Linked DNA regions of Notamacropus eugenii. The protein of the gene in region 2 purifies or fractionates together with the protein of the main gene of each other region. This does not show direct contact. Links are inferred from orthologs where the notes say so. Each region holds a gene or a part of one and is shown on either strand. Other genes may lie near its edges.

Evidence for each region. Proteins that work in one complex are often made in the same cells at the same time.
Region 1: the proteins of PRKAG3 (region 2) and PFDN1 purify together in Homo sapiens (affinity purification with mass spectrometry; 3 studies listed by BioGRID and IntAct, counting the BioPlex papers as one, with this or other methods). This does not show direct contact. The link is inferred for Notamacropus eugenii from reciprocal best matches to the Homo sapiens genes PRKAG3 and PFDN1.

Annotation. Positions count from the first base shown.
Region 1 is NC_092872.1:367,773,335-367,781,316, reverse strand, and holds the start of PFDN1 (prefoldin subunit 1), read left to right. Parts: upstream 1-4,913; 5' UTR 4,914-5,254; coding exon 5,255-5,287; intron 5,288-7,982. UniProt on the Homo sapiens protein: Binds specifically to cytosolic chaperonin (c-CPN) and transfers target proteins to it. Binds to nascent polypeptide chain and promotes folding in an environment in which there are many competing pathways for nonnative proteins.
Region 2 is NC_092877.1:317,288,268-317,296,253, reverse strand, and holds the start of PRKAG3 (5'-AMP-activated protein kinase subunit gamma-3), read left to right. Parts: upstream 1-4,926; 5' UTR 4,927-5,105; coding exon 5,106-5,130; intron 5,131-5,397; coding exon 5,398-5,562; intron 5,563-5,949; coding exon 5,950-6,350; intron 6,351-7,354; coding exon 7,355-7,436; intron 7,437-7,986. UniProt on the Homo sapiens protein: AMP/ATP-binding subunit of AMP-activated protein kinase (AMPK), an energy sensor protein kinase that plays a key role in regulating cellular energy metabolism.

The sequences.
Region 1 (7,982 bases), on a different chromosome or scaffold from region 2:
ATTTCATTTATTTATTTATTTTTAGTTTTCAACATTTATTTCCACAAGATTTTGAGTTCCAAATTTTCTCCTCATCTTTCCCCTCTGCCCACCCCAAGACAGCATGCATTCTGATTACCCCTTCCCCCAATTTGTCCTCCCTTCTATCATACCCTTCCTTTATCTTATCCCCATCCTCTCTATTTTCTTGTAGGGCAAGATAGATTTCTATACCCCATTGCCTGTATATCTTATTTCCCAGTTGCATGTAAAATCAATTTTTAACATTTGTTTTTAAAACTCTGAGGTCCAACTTCTCTCCCTCCCTCCCTCCCCACCCATCCCCACTGAGAAAGCAAGCAATTCAATATAGGCTATACATGTGTAGTTATGCAAAAGACTTCCATAAAAGTCATGTTATAAAAGGCTAACTGTATTTCCCTCCATCCTATCCTGCCCCCCATTCATTCTATTCTCTCTTTTGACCTTGTCCCTCCTCAAAAGTGTTTACTTCTAATTACCCCCTCCTCCCATTTGCCCTCCCTTCTATCATCCCCTCCCCCTTTATCCTCTTCTCCAGGAGTGGCTAGGTGGCACAGCAGATAGAGCACCAGTGCAGGAGTCAGGAGGACCTGAGGTCAAATCTCACCTCAGATGCTTGACACTGACTAGCTGTGTGACCTTGGGCAAGTCACTTAACCCCATTGCCTCATTCTGGGTCATCTCCAGTCATCCTGATGAATATCTGGTCACTCTATTCAGATGGCTCTAGAGGAGATATGAGGCTGGTGACCTGTACAGCTCTCCCTCACTCAAAAAAAGTCAAGTGCAAGTCATGTCATCATTTCTCTGATGGCATGGTCTTCTTCAGTAACGAAGGATGAACACACACAATCCTCTTCTCCTCTGCTTTCCTGTAGTATAAGATAGATTTTCATAGCAAATTGAGTGTGCATGTTATTCCCTCCTTAAGCCAAATGTGATGAGAATAAGGTTCACTTTTTCCCTCTTATCTCTCCCCTCTTCCTTTCCAGTCAATGGAATTTATTAAAGGGTAGCATCACATGGTCCGACTTGCTCTTTAGGAAGATCACATTGACAGTTGAGTGGAGAATGGACTAGAGTTGGAAGAGACTTGAGGTAGGGAGACCAATCAGAAGGTTGTTGTAATAATTCAGGCATGAGATGATCAGGGTCTGGGGTTTGTTCTGTTTTCTTTTAGAGGCAATCAGTGTTAAGTGACTTGCCTAAGATCACACTGGCACAAGTAGTTTGAAGTCAGATTTGAACTCAGGAAGATGAGTCTTCCTGACTCCAGGACCAGTGTTCTAGCCACTTTGCCATCTAGCTTCCCCCTGGAGTTTGTGCCAATGTTGTAGTAGTGTTATAAGAGAGAAGGGGGTGAATGCAAGACATGTTATAGAGCTAAAATCAGCAGGATTTGGTAATAGATTGAATATGATGGGGCTAGAGAGAATGAAATGTTGATAACACTGAGATTGTGAGCCTGGTCACTGGGAGGATTGTGGCACTCTCAATAGTAACAGAGAAGTTAGAAAGATGGAAGAATTTGATGGTGGATAATAAGTTCGATATTGTATACATCGAGTTGAAGATGTCTGTGCAGCTTGAGATGTCTAACAGGCAGTTGGAGATGTAATACTGGAGGTTAGCGGAGAGGTTAGGGTGGGATAAGTTGATATGAGAATCATCAGCATAGAGATGATAATTGAATCCATGGGAACCAATGAGATTTCCAAGTGAAATAGTGTAGAGGAAGAAGAGAAGCACCAAGTCTGTGGGACACTCATGTTTATGAAGCATTACCTGAATAAGATCCCATAAAAGAGACTTAGGAGTGGTCAAAGAGGTAGGAGGTGAACCAGGAGAGAAGTGTCATGAAAACTTAGAAAATAATATTAAGAAGAGATCGATCAACAGTGTCAAAGGCTGGAGAAAAGTCTAGAAGGATGAGGATTGAGAAAAGGCCATTACATTTGACAATTAAGAGATTACTGGCAACTTTATAGAAAGCAGTTTCAGTTGAATAATGAGATTAAAGTCAAACTGTAGAAAGTTAAAAAGAGAATGAGAGGAAAGGAAGTGGAGGCATCTGTTGTAGATGGTCTTCTCAAGGAGTTTAGCCAAAAAAGGAAGGAGAGATATAGGATGATGGCTGAGGGGGGCAGGGTGCGGGGGGAGGTGGATGAATTAAATGAGGGTTTGTTGTTTCGTTTTTAGGATGGAAGAGACATGAGTATGATTCTTTGTAATAGGGAAGCATCCAGTGTACATGGAAGACTGAAGATAAATGAGAGAGTGGGGATAATAGAGGAGGCAATGTGCTTGAGAAGATAGCTTGGAATGGGGTCACTTGTGAAGGAGAAAGTCTACTTCTTCTTGTGATACAAGGGTGAAGGAAGAGATAGTGGAAGAAGGCATCTGAAAGATGTAAGATGAAGAGAAGGGGAGAAGAGGGAACTGTTGGTGAATTGCCTTAACATTTCAGTGAAATATCAGGCAAGTTTCTTAGTTGAGAGGGTGGGGCATGGGAGAGTCATGGAAAATTTGAGGAGCGATGGAAAGGTTTGGAAAAGCTACTGCAGTAAGTTGGATAGTGAGTCAATTAGGGAGATTGCTTTGCTATAGGAAGGGCTCAGTTGAACTTATGTAACATAAATTTGTTAGTGGATCTGGTCAGCAAAAATTTGTTAGTGGATCCAGTCAGCATAGTTTTGTGATTTTTTTCCATCTTCATTTGGCAGCACATGAATAGGAGCTGTGCATGGTAGGAGTAATCCACAGCTGAGGTTTAACAGGAAAAATTGGTTATAGGATAAGAGAGTAAGGGATATGGTGCTTCAATGTTACAAACCACTTTACATGTTATCACATTTGATTAACCTGATGTCCCAATGGATTTAAAAGCTCCAATTCTAGTCTAATATTTTCCAGACCAGTTCCTCAGTTTCCTCAGTTAGATATTAGGGTCCCTTTCCATGAATAAGGTAATAGGATCTCCATAAACTTCTAAGTTAAACATGGCAAGGAAGAGCAAATAAATTTTTCTTTGGTATTTCAAGGTTCTATATCCTATATTTTGAAATATATCTATATTTCATTGGTGGGTATGCTCTCTCTATTTAAGCAGATTCCCAAACCCTCTGTAACTTAATCAATGGATTTTGAAAGTTGTGTTTGAAAAAGTCTTCACCAATCTGATGAGGATCATCTCTGGATTCAGCAAGGCTAGTCCATAGACAACAGACATATAGACATACCTGACTCTGAATAGTTGCTCTGGGCCTACCTGTGATTAAATTGATGTAGGGAATTCCCAGTGTGAATATTTCCTCCAATTGAGCTTATTGCTGATGAATAAATTCTCTGTACCTTATACTCAGTCTTTCAATAAGTATTTTCCCACAATATGACAGGGACTATACTAAGCACTGGGGAAAGGCAAAAAAAAAAATAGTCATTAGTCTCAAGGAGCTCACAATCTAATGGGAGAGGCAACATGAAGACAACAGTGTTACAGAGCTGCCTGGGAGCATTAAGAGACTAAATGATAACAGATAGTATGTGTCACAGGTAGAATTTGAATCCAGATCTTTCTGACTCCAGGCCTAACATTTTAACCTGTCTCCTATGTCACATCAATGAATTCAACTCCTAGCATATACAGATAGCCATTCATTCTGGCCAAGCTAGGTTAGCTCAACTAGGGAAATGTACTGGTAGGGAAAATGGAGTAGTCTACTAGTTGGTATGGAAGTCCTGTAGCTACCTTAGTGGGGACTCTGACAGAATTAGTTGTTAAAGTGCTGCTGTCATACCAACTCGAATCAGTGGTGTTATGACTTATAGAGAACTGGGTATGTGTGGTGCCTGCCCAGATCCTAATGAACATAAAAGCTCTAACGTATCTTTAGAACCTGACTAAGCCTCTCTGGTGTCTTAGGGATCTCATAACACTTTGCACAACTTACATTATTCTTACTTTCCTGGTGTTGGTACAACCTGAGGAGATTGCAACCCCTTTACATCTTCTCGTCTTGTACAATCCTTGTTGGTAAGACAAATCTTCCACGAAGGAATGCCAGGTCAGGGCTCTAGTTAGTTGACTTTTTATTATTATTGGTTATCTCCTTCCCTCTGGCTACATGGATGGCCAGGTCACCTCCTTTTCAGGTCATTCAAATCTTTAATGATATATTTTATGGTTCTCACATAAAAGTCATTGCTAGTAATATGATACAGTTTACTCAATTTATGATACAAGTCTTCATGTTGCCTTTTGAGTTATCTACAACTTTGATATTTCTGAAATTATGATGTTCAGCCACACAGTGGTAACTTTTATTTGTACACGTCCTGCTGCTTTTTAAAAAAAAAATGGCAATGAACTTCAAAGCACTGGATATAACTTCATTTGAGTCCTGCAGTAGGCTTGTGAGGTTAAGGTTCTACAGATATCATTATTTATTACCATTTAACAGATAAGGAAAGTTAGGCTCAAGGAAATGAAGAAATCTTTCTTTCCTAAATGTCTGAAGGACGTCAAACCCAGCTCTCTCCTGATTTCCAAGTCCAGTGAGCTTTCTATCACATGCTTCCAAGATGAGGTTTAGAAACATGGAACAGTTGAAATTGCTAAGCATATTTCCTCATAGGATAATAGGACATATTAAAATCTACAATAGAATATATCATAATCTATAACAATACATAATAATCTATAACAGAATATATAATCTATAATAAAATATTATAATCTATAATAGAATAGATTATAATCTGTAATAGAATTCTAGAACTGCTATGGCTCTTATAACACTAGGCCATCAGGTCCAACTCTTTGTTTTACAGATTAGGAAACTGAGTCCCTGAGAGGAGAGATGAACCAGTTGGTGCACTGAGGTCATAGTCACAGACCACGTGCTTTCTTCCCACCACAGGTGGCTTCTGAATAGTAGTATTCGTGAACTTGTTTTAGCTCCCCTTCTAAACTCCAAGTCGCTTGACGAAAAGGCCTGTTTATTTTTGGAGTTACTGCAGAGAACCAAAGTGGTGCTTAAAAGATGAAAGTGGAACGAACGGACAAAAAGGCAGACAGTCCCCACACCAGGAAGCCGAGGACAAGCAGCACCCAACCCTCCATTCTGTCCCGCGCAGGCGCAAAGGGTAAGCGACTGCTTCCGTTCCACTCGTTCCTCCGGGGGCCGACTTTGCTTCCGGCCGCTCAGTGCGCAGTCGCAGAGTTCGCGCCAAGATGGCTGCCCCCGTGGACCTGGAGTTGAAGAAGGTAAAAGAGGGTCTTGAATGGGAAGAATCATTCTTAGAGAGTCTGAGGGACCCCTGAGCGAGGAAGTCGAGAAAGACGCCTGGCATGACGGAGGGAAGGGGGCCTGTGGAAGCCCGTACGAGGGTCGGGCCTTCTCCGCGCTCTCTGGGGCTGTGGGCCCTTGGGGGTCGGGCCGGGCCCATCGGGCCTCCCCTTCGTGGTCCGTGCGCCGTGTTCGAGCTCTGGTGTATTCGTGCAGCCGCTGCGGCTTGGGGGTGGGGGAGGGAACTCCATTTTCCAGAATAGAAAGAGGCAGGAAGCTGTTTTCTGTCAATGATGGGGAGATTCCAAGACTGTTCGTGTTTGCACCACGCCCCTCCCCCCATCGCCATCACCGATGTTTTCAAGCACCTGGCCCTTCATTTTTAAAAAAATCAAAATACTCATTAGATCTGAAAAAAAGCCTCGAACTTAATCTGGTTAGCAAAAACACTGTAGTTAGAGTTAGGGTAGATTTCAGGAGAAACCCTGTTTTGCTACACCATGACTTTGGGCAAGTCACGTTCCTGGACTCCTTGTTTCTTTCTTTTTACAATGAGGAAGTTGCCTTCCTCTTGGCACGGGGAGAACTGGAGGAGGACGGGGAGTTGGCTGTCCTCCCCTTGGCAGAGGGAGGGAGCATGTTGAATGCATTTGTCAGTTGAGGTTACTATCAGTGGTTTTCACTTAACTTTTTTTTTTTTTTTTGGTCTCGAAGGGAGGAGGGGTTAACGGGAGGGGCGGTTCTCCAAAGAGAATGTATCATTAAAACAAAAGCATCGATAAAACTTAGTAAAAATAACGTTAAATAAAAGTAGGGAGTTAGACTAGATGATCTTCAAGGTTTCTTTCAGCTCAGAGAGGTATGGTACAGTGTAATTATAAGAACTCTGAATTTGCAGTTAGAATGCCTGCGTTTGGATCCAGGATTTAGAATTCTGACTCTAATACTTAATAGCAGTGTGACTGTGGTCCGGTCAGTTCCCCTTTCTGCTCCTTAGTTTTCTCATTTGTAAAAAGGGGATAATAATATTTATTCCAACCACCTCACAGAGTTGTCCTGAAAAGAGCATTTTGTAAATCTCAAAGCACTGTGTAAATAGGAGTTATTAAATCCTATGAATATCCGTGTTGGTTTTGCTTCTTTGTTTTACCAATGGAGCTCTTTTCCCAAACTTTTACAAGCCCCTTTGATTTTAGTAGGAAGTTCGGACTACCTGATGTTCTTACAGTACTTTCTCAGACTTTCAAGGGTTTTGTTTATTTTTATTGTTTTTTGAAGGCTTACTTGGGGAAAAAAAAAATCTAACAAAGTTTTCCCCATGAAGTAAATTGAGAAGATTGAGAATTTCTGTCTAAATCATAGCTTCTAGATATGTACATTTCCCAAAATAATTTTAGGTCTTTAGAGTACTTAAGGAGGACTATGATAGTCCTTAAAACCCAGTCATAGAATCAGAGAACTGGGAGAGATCTTAAAAAAGATCAGAGTCCAATTCTCTCATTTTATTTTGATTAAACTCTATTTTTTTAGAGATATAAATCATCTGGTCAGCCTTTATTTCTTAGAAGAAGAAACTTAGGCCCAAAGAGCTTAAATGTTTTGGCCAGGGTTTCACAATTATTAAGTAGGAAAGCCAAGACTTAGGACCTAGTTTCCTGATACTAGTGCTCTGTTACACTATACTTTGATGATATATTTAGCTTTGATGTTTGCAAGACCACATGGTCATACATTTCTTCTCTTAGAAAAAAACAATTGCTAAAAGAAGTTTGTGATCTTAAATTTAGTATGAGTTTATAGTTTACGGGAAAGAGAAGGCAGGTAGAGGTTATAATGAGCAATGTGCCTCATTCACTTTTCAGGACTTTGAATTTTTTTTTTGGTTGAAAAATAGGAAAAAATACAATAGAAATTTTTAATCCTGAATGCAAGTTAAAATTGGCACAAAGTTATTTTAACCAAGAGCTTAACAATAATTTGTTTTTAGTGAAAGGCAGTTACGTGTTTTGGTTTTAAAGTAGGCTAAAGATTTTATTTTTAAACTTTCCTCTAGTCATTTATTAGTTGGAGACAAATGTGGAAAATTTCAGGAATTAAATAATCTGGAACAGTTATGAGTGAGGGAAAACAGGGTGAGAGTGAAAGTTGAGCTATGGTTTTGCTATGCCTTAGTAATCACAAATGCTATTATTAAGGCATAAATTTGACAGCATGTGAAAATCATTCCAGGCACTTCAGCAAGAGTATTATTCATGGACGGTGTTTATCCCTAGAGTAGGGTATACATAAACAGTAGTAAAATTTTGCTTGGTATCTGTGTGAGGGTATCAAGATATGATTCCATAACTTAAAGTTTTTTTGTTGTAATAGTTATGTTCTCAACTGTTACATTTTTGGTTCAAATTTTTGAATTTTCTCTCATTTTTTCCTTGAGCTCCTATATTACTTATTGTTTAACCCATTCATTTGGCATTCAATACCACTTTTGTTATCTTTTTAATGTGTACTGTCTCCTCCACCAGACTATAACTTTGAATTCAAAGATTATCTCTAAAAGTCTTCCACCTCAGACTTTATGTAGCACTTTATATCTTTATAATTTATTTAACATGTATTATGTTATATTGTGTATGTATTATGTATAATATGTATTACATATAATACATATGTATT
Region 2 (7,986 bases):
GTAAAACAGGGGTGGGGAATGAGTAGAGCAGATGACACCAAAGGTCTGTCTCAGTTCTGGCATCTTGTGAATCTCCTCTAGGAATCCTGAAAGAGGCAATTTTTTCCTTTGTTGTATATAGTAAAATGACCAGCAGGGGATGCTGGACCCTAAGAAACCACCATCATTTTTTTCTCAACCAGCCAACTACATAGTCAAAGAAGTAGGAGAACCATGTCCAAAGAATGAAAAGCAGCAGGTGGTCAGGGCTTCAGACACTGCTGAGCTAGCAAAGGAATGTGCCTGACAAAAGGCGGAAAGGCCAGATGGGTGAGGGACGTGAGCCAGTAAGTGCTATTAAATTGTTCATTGAATTGATGTATACACTAAGGTAGGAAACTACCCTGCAGAGGAAAAGACCTCAGGACTGGTCGGTAACAACAGGGCCATATTCAAATTTCTGGTATCTCATTGACATGCTTTATAACTTAATGTGGAGGAAAAATTATAATAATAATGCCTCACAACCCTTCTAAGAGATAAGCAGGGTTTATTCTCCCTATTTACTTGCAGATAAAGAAACTGAGGGCTGGGTCAGCAAAGTGACCTAACAACATCACCTTGGCTAAATGACGACAGTGAGGATTAGAACCCATGTCTCCTGTCTCTCACTTAACCCAGGCCTCTTTTCACCAATTGGAACAGATGTGTAGGATTTGTATGGATAGAATTCATCTGCAAAGGTCTGAGGGATTAGGAAGGCATTTTTCAGGACAGGATCTGACAGAAGAGAGGTGTCTCATTTGGGGTAGGGACAGGGATCATCTGGAGCCAGCTCAAACCTCCTTGGAAGAAATGATTGTTAAAATTTCAGTGTAAGCATTTGAATCTTGAAAGTCTATAAATCAGTCTTTCACTTTATTGCTTCATGGATTGTTTAAAGTCTAGATCTAGTCTAGCCCTGAGTCCAGTCTCTAGACTTAGGGAAGTGATAGAGAAGTATTAATAGTTCAGTGCATTTGCACTTAATAACTATGGCTATAGCCAATAGTTTGGTACATTTTCAGAGTTGTTTGCTAGCAGGTGTCTGGATAGAAGGGTGAACTTACAGAATACAAGCTCTATGTTTTTATTCAAGTTAAGTTGGTGTTAACCCATCTGACTTGGTATCTGGAAGTCAGTATCTAATGTCCAGATGGACAAGGTAGGGAGCTGCAGAGGAGAGGGGTGTGAGGATTTGTCTGGGGGGTGGGAGGGAAGAAAAAAGGAATCATAGTTTATATTTCCATAGGATTAAAAAATTTTCCATAAAGCTTGCCGCTTTTATCTCCTCTGACCCTGCTGTTACTCTAGAACAGACCTTCATTATTTCATACCCAATAGATTCCTGGTAGGATTACCTTCCTATTCCAATCCTTCCTCCATTCAGCCACCAAAGGGATTCTCCTAAAGAATTCCTTATTCACTCCCTTACACAATAAACTTCAGTGGCTCCCTATGGCCTCCAGGATCAAATACAAAATCCTGTGTTTCAAAGACCTTCATAACTAGCTCCTTCATACCTTTCCAGTCTTACTTACTTACTTTCCAGTCTTACTTGTATGTGTTCGTCCTTCATTGCCAAAGAAGACCATGCCATCAGAGAAATAATGACATCACTTGCACTTGACTTTGTTTTGAGTGAGGGAGGGCTGTGCAGGTCACCAGCCTCACTTCTCCTCCAGAGCCATCTGAATCCAGTGATTCATCAGGATGACTAGAGATGACCCAGGATGAGGCCCTTGCCCAAGGTCACACAGCTAGCGATTGTCAAGTGTCTGAGGTGAGATTTGAACTCAGGTCTTCCTGACTCCAGCACTGGTGCTCTATCCACTGCACCACCTTGCTGCCCCTCCAGTTTTACTTAAACCTTCCTTCTAATACACACTCTTCTCTCCAGTGACACTGGTCTGGCTATTCCACAAATAAGACAATCTCTCTACTCTAGGCTTTCTCTCCAGCTATCTCCTATGCCTGAAAGGCTCAAAACTCCTTAACCTCTGGCTTCCCTGGCTTCTTTCAAGTTCCAAGGAAAATCTCACCTTCTACAGGTAGCCTTTCCCATTGCCTCCTGATTCTAGTGCCCTCCCCCTATTAATTATTTCCCATTTATCTTGTGTATAGCTTGCTTCTATATGGGTTTTTTTGCATGTTATTTCCCCTTTAGATTATAAACTCCTTGAGAGCAGGGAGTACCTTTTGCACCCCCAGTACTTAGCATAGTACCTGGCACATAGTAGGTGTTTAATAAACGTTTATTGATTAATTGTTTAACTTGCTTCACAACAACATTGTGAGATAGGTATTATTATCTCCATATTACAGAAAGAGAAACTGAGACCTAGGGTCTAAAAAGTTAGTGATAGTATCCATGCTGAAGCCCAGATGTCCTGGCTCCAGCCCTGTGCTTTTTTTTAAATCTAATTTTTTAATTATTCTGAACTTGACAAACACCAACCAACAACATGTCTGTATACGATATAGCAGAGAAGATGATTGTATTTGAGACTGTGTATCTCTATTACATAGTTGCACCTTTAAGTATACAATAAATTGAACACTGTGTTTCAAAGCTATCCTGTTTGTATCTTCTTCTGAACTTTCTCTGTTCTCTCCTCTGGGTATTTTTTGAATGTTTCAGTGGTACTACCTTCTTTCTTTGAGATCAAATCCTACTTGGCTTTTAAACCCTCAAAACCTTCCTACTTTTCAAATCTTCTTACACCCTACTCCACTCCAACTGCCCCACTGTCCTTGACAGTCCTATGACACTGGTCCCCTTTATGATCCTCCACAGCGAGGCGGGGCTCTCAGGGGAGCATTAGGAAACGCAAACTTATAAATACTTTCTAGGTGCTTTACAAGCACTCTCTCATTCCAGCAACTCTGGGAGTGGACAGATAGAAGTCCAAATGACTTGTCCATAGTCACACACCTAGTAAGCATCTGAAGTCACGCTCGAACTCAGAATTTCCTGACTACGTGCCCAGCACCCTTTCCTCTGATCCGTCTAGCAGTTTCCCATCTCTCAACTCTATTTTCAGTGGCCTGGAATTCTCTCCCTCTTCATCACTGTCTCCAGGCTCCCCAGCTTCCTTGAAGTCTCAACTCAAATCTTTCTTCAAGAGGCCCAAGATGCTGACTCTACTCCAGACACCTGGCATTTTGTTGGTTCAGTGAACACCCATGCCTGGAATCTGGTCTCTCTTCATTTCCCCCACCTGGCTTCCCAGCTCTATCAGAGGCCTGCCCTGATCCCCCTTAGCATTAGTACCCTCTCTGGTGATTATTTATTCTGTATATATTTATTTTGTATGTATCAATTTATTCTATATATCTGTGTGTATATACATATATATGTGTGTGTATGTATGTGTGTATATTTGTTTGCACATAGTTGTTTTCATGTCATCTCCTCAATTAGGCTGTGAGCCCCTTGAGAGCCTTTCTTTGTGTCCCCATCACTTAGTCATTCCTGGCCCATTATAGGAGCTTAATAAACACTTGTTAACTCTTGGCATCACTATCAATTGCCCCTTCCTCCCTCTCCCCTCTTCCCCCCCATATTTTTAAACCCTCCCTTGCAACATATAATCCCAGCCAAGCAAAACAAATCCCCACACATTGGCCATGTCTGGAAATGTCCTTCTCATTCTGTACCTCTAGTCCATTGCCCTCTGGGCCAGGGTCTAGGAAGCATGCTTCATCACAGTCCTCTGGAGCTCAGGTCTATGAACATTACTATGTTCATAGGTCTTAAGTCCCAGATCACTTCCCATCACACCCCTTTTTCCCCCAAGAAAAGGAAGTTAGAAAGCGTGGCTTGGAGTAATAATGGGAAAGAACTCAGAAGGAAGGGAGGTTAGGCCTCGGAGTGGGGAGGGAGAACCAAGGGGAGCATGGTCAGCATTCCTCATTAGGACTATGACTCAAGCTCTAGGCATGTCAAGGGGTGGGACAGGGAGGTTAGATACCAGAACTGGGCTATTAGCCCGCTGGCAGAAAGAGTAGTGAGGACTTCACAGGCAAAAGTGGAGTCTAGTTGGACCCTGGAGTGCCCTATTTCTAATACACTCCAAAATACCTGTCCTGACTGGGGGCTGGGGTGGGAAAACTAATTGTCACCTCCTCTAAGACTGATCAGAGAGCTCCCAAGGATCTCAAAGCACTAAAGCCCACATCCCTGATGGAAGTATCCTTTTTTTTCCCTTCTAGAGTTCTTTATTATCTTCTATTTGCCCGTAGGAAGGCTTCTCATCCCCTACCCCCTCCTGCTTTTGGTATGTCCCTGTTTTCCTTCTATTCTCCTCCTCTAATATTTTCTCTAGACTAACCCTACACTCCACCCCAAGGCACATGCCTCCCTGTCTTCCCAATACCTATTTCCCTCTGACTCAATCTCCCCATTTACACCCCCTGATTGACATCTTTCCTCTAGGGGTTGAGAGTAGTTGCTAACCAAAGAAAGGAAAGTCTCACAAAGAAAGGATAGACCTCTAGACAGCTCTCATCTGCTCCCACCTATACTACTTACCAGTAGCCTCCTATTGGGAACTGATTTGCTCTTGTAACTACCTTGTTTAAATTTTCTCAGAAGTGCTAAGAAGTCTGTGGAGGCAGGTTTCTTGTGTCCCAGAGATAATCTGGATGTTTCTCTCCCCCCTCCCCCACAAAATAAAAGCACCTGTATGCTTCTCCCCATCTCCAAAGCTGGCCAGTGTCCACAGGGTTGCTGGCCCAGGCAGGCCTGGGGCAGCTGGGCTAGGAGGAGCCCCTCCCTCCCATTGGTCTGACACCGAGCCAAAGAGAAACTGATCTTCTGGTGGGGGCAGGGAGCCAGAGAGCTGGGGCCCAGAATAGTCTCTGCCACAGCTTTAGTCAGCACGACACTGGCTGGATGCAGCCTGAGCAGAAACACACCCTACACTGGGTACAGGGGCCCCAGGGAGGGAATAGAGGGAATCTGAAGGGACAGAGGGTGGGAGCCAGCTGCAGTCCCTCAGACTCGAGCAGCTGAGGCTTGGGTTGCCATCCTCTCTTAGCCTTTCACCTTGCCTTCTTCTCACAGCCTTCATCTTGAAACAACCATGTGGGACATGATGGAACAACCAGGTGGGTAGGAGCTACTTGGCCCCACATTCACTTCCCACATCCCTCCTCTTCCCCTGCCTGAAATTCCTCTATCCCTGTTACCTTATCCCTATATCCCACTATCTTTCCTTGCTCTCCCTTTCACTGTCTCCTCTTTTTCCTCTTTATTCCATTGTTACCTCCTCTTTTTCCTTCTCTTCCTTCCATCTTGTCTCTTTTTCACTCATCTCCTCTCCCTCTCACTAGCTCTCTCTTTCTCTGCTACCCAAGTTCTATTTCCTCATACAGAAGTGAGCTACTCAGGGGACAGCCCTTCAAGGCCATTTCCTTGCATGAATACCAGCCCAGGGAAGAGCTATGATGACCAGGGAGCCAAGGCCTCCCAGTGGATAAGGCAAGAGGCTGTGGAAGAAGGAGACTCCCCTATCCTGGAGGAAGGAGACAGCCCCCAGGGTGAGGAATGGGCCTATTGGGGAGAGAGAGGAAGAACAGTTGCAGTTTAGAGTGCCTCTGATTTCCTGTAGATGCAGACACTAGAACCTTGTCATGATCTCAATGCTTTAGTTTAATCTTCTGAGATGGCTCCTGGCTCTGTGGAGGTCAGAAGACCTGAGTTTTAGCCTCAGTTCTTCTGCAAGCTTGCTGTATGACCTTGGGCAAATCTCTTCATATCTCCAAACCTCAATTTCCTCAACAACTTAGCAACTTAGTTTTCTCATCTGTAAGATGGAAACAATAATACCCAATGCTTCATGGGATTGCTGAGGGGACAAAATAAGAAAGCTACTGGTAAAGTAGAAAGCATTGGATAAATGTAAAATGTTATCATCATCTTCCTAGCAGGTGTCCTGGCAAGGCCTGAGTCTGTGTCTACCTCCTCAGAAGATGTATCCCAGAGCCAAGCTGCCACATTCTCAGGATCCGATTCCATTAGCTGGGGCTTGGAAGCCATAGGCTTGGACTCCACACCCATGTGTCCAGGGCTCACATCTATATGTCCAGGGCTCACATCAGGGGCCATATCCCTGGATCCAGAGACTTTATCAGTGGGACAGGAAGGGGAGATTCCAGGGAGAGTGACCAGAAGTCCATCACCACAGATCCTCCTGCCCAAACTGGGCTGGGACGAAGAACTGCTCCACCCAGAAGCCCAGATCTACATGCACTTCATGCAAGAACATAGCTGCTATGATGCCATGGCTACCAGCTCAAAGCTGGTCATCTTTGATACCATGCTAGAGGTAAGGGTCTTCCTGTGCTCCCTGAAGCTCCAAACCTACACTCAAAGGTCTTTCTAGATCTCCCTGGGACCCTATAGCCCCAAAGCCATAATCAAACAAAAGCATCCCTACATCTCCAGACCCCCTGAATGCGTCAGACACCCGTCTCACTTTGGTTCATAGGTGCTTCCCTGCATAGCCTCACCAAATTCCCTTGGTTCCTCCCTTCTAACTCCCTCCCTTCCCTTTTCTACTATAACCTTCTAAATCAAGGGTGGGGAACTTATGACCTTCTAGGTCCTTGAGTGCAATCTTTTGACCAAGTCCGAGGATTTGTTCTGTAAAACTTGGATCCTGTCAAAGGGCTTTACTGGAGGACCTAGAGGGCCACCTGTAGCCTCAAGGCCACAGGTTCCCCACTCCTGGTCTAAACTTTCCCTCGACTTTATGTATTATTCCTTCCTCCACAATACATACTCACCCCAACTTCCCCAGTGGTTATAAGTACAAATGGAGAAATGGAGGGGGAGATGAAAGTTGGCTACATGAGTAGTTGTAAAAGTACAGGAAGGACCTTGCAAAAAAATACTTAAATTCAACAAGGGTGTATTAAGTACCTACTATGTGCAAGGCTCTGTTCTCAAGGAGCATGAGACCAGCACAAAGAGAAGTTCTGAGCTATGCTAGGTGAATTTGAGTAGGAGTCCCCTGGGACCTGAGTCAGGAAGGAAGGAAGAGGTCTTGTAAGAACAGTGAGTCATTAATAGATGGAGGTCATTCCCAAGCATGGGCAAGATAGTAAGCAGAAGCACACAGGAGCCGGTCAAGAATGTGGAAGAGTCATGTAGTTTGCCCAGGGCAGACTCTACAAAAGAGAATAGGGTGATAAGACTGTTAGGACTTATGGGTTAAAGGCCTCAAATGAATGTCAAGATCCTTGACCTGTAGATGGAGCAGTAAGATTAATGTTCGAGATGATAGGATCTATCCAAGCAACAACATCATTTCTTCCTCTTTCTTCCCAGATCAAGAAGGCCTTCTTTGCTCTTGTGGCTAATGGGGTACGGGCAGCCCCTTTGTGGGACAGCCAGAAGCAGAGTTTTGTGGGTAAGTAAAAGTCTGTGAATGGGAAGGGAAAGGTCTTGGTGAAGATATGTAGGGGAGCACCTACTGGCCAAGGTGGGCAGACATCAGGAGCATTCAGGGGTCTCTTCAGTGGAGCTCTGAGGCTCAAGTCTTAGCTATGTCATTTAATACTTGGGCCATGTTGACAAGTCACATATCTCTGGGCCTCGGTTTCCTCATTTACAAAATGAAGGGGTTGGAATGAATGATCTCCAAGGTCCCTTCCCACTCCAAATCCTATAATCCTTTGATGGCCTACATAGCATAGAGACCATGGCTAGATAACAGCTCAACAACCTAACTCTCCAACCCTGGGCTACGCTGAAGGCAGACCCCTACCATTCAGTTCTTCTCCCAGGCAGAGAAGGAAAGGGAGGAGAAGAAAAAGAAAAGAAGAGTAGAAGAGAAGAGAAAGAGAAAGAGGAGAAAAGGGAAGAGAGAGGAGACCTCAGGGTAGGAAGTGCTGTGAGGCTGATAGAGACTGGCCAGTGTGCTATGGGATGTCTACCCGAGTCTCGGATTCGCCTCCTTT